Drosophila melanogaster: one gene and its partner. The protein of the gene in region 1 interacts with the protein of each later gene in a pairwise test. Each region holds a gene or a part of one and is shown on either strand. Other genes may lie near its edges.

What was found.
Region 2: the proteins of CG14332 (region 1) and CG4066 interact in a two-hybrid assay, tested with the Drosophila melanogaster proteins (one large-scale study listed by BioGRID).

Annotation. Positions count from the first base shown.
Region 1 is NT_033777.3:17,421,158-17,423,752, forward strand, and holds CG14332 (uncharacterized protein), read right to left. Parts: upstream 1,046-2,595; 5' UTR 1,020-1,045; coding exon 645-1,019; 3' UTR 533-644; downstream 1-532.
Region 2 is NT_033777.3:12,309,721-12,313,662, reverse strand, and holds CG4066 (uncharacterized protein), read right to left. Parts: upstream 2,311-3,942; coding exon 544-2,310; downstream 1-543.

The DNA of each region.
Region 1 (2,595 bases):
TAAAAACATACAGATTTATTACAAAAAAAAAAAATGTAAAGCAGTTAGAATCGTAGGATGTATAAAATAAAAAATTTATTTAAAAAAAAACATGTATGATTAAAGAGTTATGCACGAAATAAGATGTACTAAAACCTACATATGTATATATATGTGCTTTATGTGCTTATGCGCTTTAGTTTATTGTTTATTTTAGCACTCTGGCTTATTTTAATGATTCAAGAATCAGCGTCTTAACATAGCCGAATATCAACAAATTGGTAACTTTAAATGGTTTGAAAATCGAATTCATATTCCCAGCTTAAATGGCTACTCGCTTTGGGCAACTATTCAAGAAATGTTTAAATCATGAAGTGCAGCCAATTGAGTGCGTAACTTGTCGCTAAAGCTGAAATTGGCGTATTAACCAGTTCATTAAAGGTGACATTGTTGCTAAGGATTAAGTACTAGGTAATGCCTATGAAATGAATATTCCCCAATGCTCAATCTTATCCCTGCCATTGTAAAATAATCTTAATCAAGTTTCGTTTTTATGTAACATTTGTTATTATTTGCGATAGAAAAAGGTTTGAGAGTAGAATAAGAATGTGACAATAAGGATGTAGATCTAGGTTTGGTCATTTGCTGATGATAAGTTCTGTTTCTTAATAAGGCTTTTGGCTGCGTTGGCGATTCTGGTAGGAATTTCCATGGGCAGATCCACCTACATTTGGACGTCCATGAGCTCCAGCAGACGGACTACGCGGAGCTCCACCACGAGGACGAGATCCGGTCACTCCAACTACGGGCACTCGACGGGATCCTCCAACAGGACCAGAGAGGGATCCATATCCAGAGATGGGTCGTTGGGTCTGAGGGGCAGCGGAGTAGCCACGGGTTATTCCGGCAGCTGGAGCTCTAGATGAAATAGCTCCAGACTGATGCACTCCCACCCCGGATTCCTGATTCACCGACGACAAATACGATCCTTGGGCGAGGACAAGCAGGACACTGATCACCAAAATATAATAGAGTGCCATTTTGAAATAGGTCTTTTAATTGTGTGCTTGAATGTAGAGTAGGAAGCAACTGATACTTGGCTTAAAAGGAATTACTCCTTTTATAGCAGATACCTGAGTACTTAAAAAAAACATGAATGCAGTTAAAGGTACATATTATGTTAAAAATTAAATTATATGACAATTTTGATAATGTTGTAATGGAGAAACTGAGGTCAGATTTTATCTGTAATATACTCCAATGATCCAGTTTTGTAATTTCAGTGTTTAGCAGATGATAAATCAGAATGAAAGAGTTCAACAACCACCTGCTATTATTCATATAAAAAATATGAATGAGTAAATATGAATTCAAGTTAGAAGCACATACCTTAGCAAGCGTTGTTATATGTAGCTGAACACAAAATTTCATAGAAAAAACCAGAGATATATACTACATGCGCAGACGCATTTTCAACTCTTAAATCAATTTATGCATAAAACATGACTAGCAAGACATAGAAGGCTCTTTTTCATAAAATTATGGTCTAACTAACATTACTAGCAGCCATGGATTTAATTGGCATATAGAAGGCTTGATTAAGCCGGCCAATTGGTAAGCCAAAAAAGAAACACCCGCGATGATCGCGGTTGCCAGGAAGTAAGGCATTTGCGAAAATAGTTTTGAAAATATAGGCTCAAGTGATGGAGACCCAAAATAATGGTTAACCTTGCCATATATAGCTCAGGGTCCGTTTATTATCCATAACAATGAAAGCAAATTAGGCTTACGATTGTTTAAAAAATTGCAAACCCAATTGAGGTTTGATAGGTGGGCAATAATAATGAAAAAATGGTAAAAATGAAATGTCATGGTGGCAACATTGAATTACGTAAATTACGTAAAATCATTTTGCGATTTCTGAAATTTAGAAAGTAAACACAAGTGTGTGAACCATTTTTGGGTGTATCACTCATATGTGTTCAAGTATGCTTTTAATACCAAATATTTTATAATTACTCGGCATAACATTTTTTAGGTTTGGTTCTTAGCTTTAGGCACGTAATTTGCAACTAATTGAAACTCTACTCTGGTGCAATATGACTCATTCGCACCGTTGTCGCCAGCTGTGCGATCTAGGTGTTAACATTTTTTATTTACCTATTTTTCGTTTGTCAAGCTAACATGCGAGCGTTGTGGTTTCCAGTTACTCGTTTTAATTTTAATTACATTTTTCGTATACAATTAGCTAACAAATCAATGAGAAACCGTTAGACAAAAAGAACAAACACAGAAAAATTGTATATCAACAATTGCTCAATCGATCCGATCAAATAACAAATAACTTTGTGCCGAATATTGACATTTCGTAAGCATTTGAAAAGTGAACGCGACAACAACAAACCTAAATGCAGTGCGTTGGTAAAAATCTTGAACACGTTAAGAATGTTGGCAAGGTTGTCTGCCACGGCAGCTGCTACTTTGTGATTTTGTGGGCCTCCATCTGAGTCTCGATCCTCCGACTGCGTCTCAATCCGAGAGTCCAACTTAATTAAATTGGATTTTATGTGCCGTATTGGATCGGCCATTTGGGGCCCCGGCGACCATGACGAGGTG
Region 2 (3,942 bases), 5.1 Mb from region 1:
CTCCAATTCCGAATGCCGAATCCCGATACCCGTGAGGGCCCAACAATGGCCACAAATGAAAAATCCACTTCGACTCATTGTGTCGCCTGTCACCTGGAATTAGTAACTACAAGTATGTTAAAAGGTTCATTCATGTTGCGCTTGTTTTGACTTTTGTTTCGCGCCATCCTCTCAGCCTTCCTGAAAGACATTTGTAGTTCTCGGCTTAGTTTTGGTCTGGGATTCGTTCTGGGGTCCCCGACATCTCGGTGCATCCGTGGTATCAGTTTCGCTCAGCAGCTTCACGGTGTTCCCTTGTCTGTAAATTGATAGCCAGCCAAAATAGTCCGCATATTTGCCATGAACAATTTGAGCTCGAGAACATAAAAACCGTAGCAGGGAATGCATTTATACAACCGTTGCACTTTAAAATCTTTTTATTTCAGACGAAATTGATACATTGCTCCAATTTTAAAGAATTTCAAATTACTATTAATAAAATAATGTAAAATAAAATAAACTTAAATTGTTTCAGGTTCCATTCGGTTTTCGTTTCAAGTTTATTTATGCTGGTGCCACAACATTCCACGATGACTCCAATGCGTTATCTTCAGCACCTAAGATCTGTGGGGTTCTAGTTTTCCTACTTTGGTTGATATCTTCTATGCCCTTATAGCTTATAAAACGGGTCGGATAGGTTTCAGTATTATACTCCGCAGATCCGCTAATGGCAATTGCCAAGTCGGTGCGCTTTTGAGAAATGCTTAAAGCGTGAGTTAGATCATTGATCTCTTTGAGATTAGTGGGGGTCCAGGCTTTGATGACAGCTTCTACGGAGTAATATCTATTTTCCTGGGTCTGGTTGAACAAAGCCAATTGGTTATCTAAGAATGACAGTTTTCTGATGGAAGTTTTCGTTAGATTTCTAACCTCGGGAACGTTCTTTAGTTCAATTAGAGAATTAATTTGCGATTTGTTCAGATTGTCAAACGAATCCTCTAAGCTATTTACTTTTGGCTCGATATATCCAAGGAGAAGTTGATTTACAAAGTTGAGTCTGTCATCCAATCCTTTTGTTCTGCGCAGAATTTGTCCTTGGGTAACGTTAAGTTTATCTACGAGGTTCCTTACACGATCTTTATTCTGCTCTTGGAGCCTAGTTAAATCTGATACGGCTTCGATTGATCGGTTGGCAAAAATGTCTAAGTTCTGAAAAGAGGTGACAACGCCTCGAAGAAGTTCCACTTCCCAAAGCAGAAGTTCCTGTGTCTGGTTTCGGAGAAGTTCCTCGGTGACTTCGATTGCATCAAGGTACTCTGCCTGGTTGTCCAGCTCAGCGTCTATTTTCCAGTTAATTGCGCTGACAGCATCAAGCTGAGTATTAAACCGATCTAGGGCTCCTGCATTTTCAGCCAGGAGTGCAAGAATTATTTCTTCTTCTGATGGTTGTTCAGTGGTTGTAGTGGATTCAGTTGTGGTAGTTGGCGAATCTTCCGTTGATACCGAAGTTGTTGTGTTATTTGTTGTTGAACCAATTGTTGTGGAAACTGTTGTTGGTGAAGACGAGGTGCTGGTCTCAATTGATGTGCTCCTTGTAGTCGTGGAAGACTCGGTTATAGATTCTGTTGTGGTGAAATCAGATGTGTTTGGTGAGGAGGTGATAGAATCGGCTGTGGTTGAAGTAGTTGTGGAAGTTTCATCCTTTTTGGTGGAACCCGATGTCGTAATTTCGTTAGTCGTAGAATCGCTTGTGGTAGAATCAGTTGTTGATAAAGAAGTTAGTCTGGAATCTGTTGTTGAAGCTGATGTTGTCGGAACAGTTGTGGTTTCAGTAGTTGTAGAATTATTTGTGGTGGAGTCACTTGTCGATGGAGAAGTTGTGGATGTTGTTGTCGTTGAAGATGTAGTGGAAACAGTTGTTTTTAAAATTCTCGTTGAAGCTTGAGCTGTGGTTGAAGACAGGGTCGCAAAATCGGTTGTGGTAGATTCATCTGTGGTGGAATCATTAGTCTTTGAATGAGATGTGCTGGAATCAGTTGTTGTTGTAGCTGTCGTTGAAGAGTGAGTAGATATTGAGGCCAGTGTTGTGGAAGTCGTTGTTGTTAATCCGTCTGCGGTATATTCACGGGTTAATCCAGTCTTCGTAGAACTTGTGGGGATTGAAATTGGCGTGGCTGTAATGATTGGAACATCAGTAACTCCTTCGGATTCAGTATTGGCCACTTCGTCAATATCCTCAAAGTCCACAAATTCCTCCACTTGATTGAAGGGATCTGCTGCAAAAGCAGCCCCCGTAAAGATCAACAAAAGAGTTGCAATTGGAAGAAACATTTTCAGACCGCACTTAATGCTTGTTCTTATAAAAGAACTAAAAGTTTAACTGCCATTTGATGGCCTTCACCCCAGCTTAAATACACTTTACATTGCCGCCCACGTTCACGTTTCGGTCTCAGGTGGCAGGTGTGCTATCTTCAACCGCTTTCTGATTCTCAGCATTCTTTTTCTTGTACCGTGCACTTTTTCTTTTATCGGTTTTATGCTGTGCTTTATGGGTCAGCTTGTACAGCACGAGTTTGATGTTTGAAGAAGCCACCGATTCTGGTTCATTGTACTTGCAAATGTAGACAAAGAAAAGAAAAACAAAGAGACACATGGCTAGATTTCCACAAGCGACAATTGCGGAATATCCATCAATAGGAAAGCTAACTATTAACCACATAAAAGTCAACGCCAGTCACATGGGGGTCACACTCAAAGTCAAATTTTAATGAAAAAGTGATTCATCATTTAAGCGGCTGCATCAATTAATGGCCAACGGGGTGAGTGGGGCGCAGAAGGGCGGGCCCCTCAATAAGCGGGTCAAATTAGAATAAATAGTTACACAAACAAGCAGACCCCTTTGCTCTCTCTGGCTCGCTGTAAAGGGGCGGGGAATTATTGCAACAAATCAAAAAATTAAAAATAAATAAAAATGAATTGAATAATTTGGGTCACCAATATATGGCTCTCTCCCTGAGGCGCACAATGCCTACGGAATGGGTCGAGTCAAGATGATGGTGGTCGCTTTTGGTGGTTATATGGGGATTGGGTTGGTTTGGGTTGGGTGGGTAGCTTTCAATATTCCTCATTAATTAATTGCCGCATAATTCATGTATTGCATGCTGCATGGATGTACTCAGAAAAATTACTTAGGTATTAGAAATAAGCTCAAATTACAAAAATATTTTGTCAAGTGGAATTTAGAAAAAGTTACCATTTGACACAATTTTTTTGGGAATTCAGATTATTAATCAAAAGTAGTGTTTGATAAAAATTAAAAAATTATTAAATGAAATCACAGACATACATTTAAATAATTAATGTTAATGATTTATAGAAGTATATCTTGTGTTACAAATTAAATTTGGACTCCGATTTTTATCATCAGTTTTCTTTTCCAGTGTTGGAGAAGAACTTTTGATGCACGTTCTTTTCGCTATTGAAAACCATGAAAATATTTGGAAATGGGCCTATGTTTCGGGTCCGTTCCGACTTCTTATGCTGGTTGACATTTAAACCCATTTCGATCGCGGCAGTATGGGGCTGATCCGTTGGGTGGATGGGAAAGGGAAGAGGATGAGGAGCTGGGAGCTCGGCATGCAATTATGCATTCATCAAGATTATGACACGACATGCAAGTTCCTCTTGTGTCTTTAGCAGCAAATGAATTTGTACTTGGCTGTGGGTGTTGTTCTTGTCGCAGTTTTTGCTGTAGCCTCCAGTGTTTTGATAGAACAATTTTGCCGCGGGCCATCTATTTTTTTCCATTTTACTGCAGGCTGTGGTGGCAGCACACGCGATTTGGAAGCGGCGCGTAATTAATCGTCAAATGAGTTTAATTGTTTATGTCTCTCGGTCGCGTCTGTGAACTGAATGCGGTGTCTTCAGATGACTTTCAGATAGGAGATGGCAGAATGGCAGAGC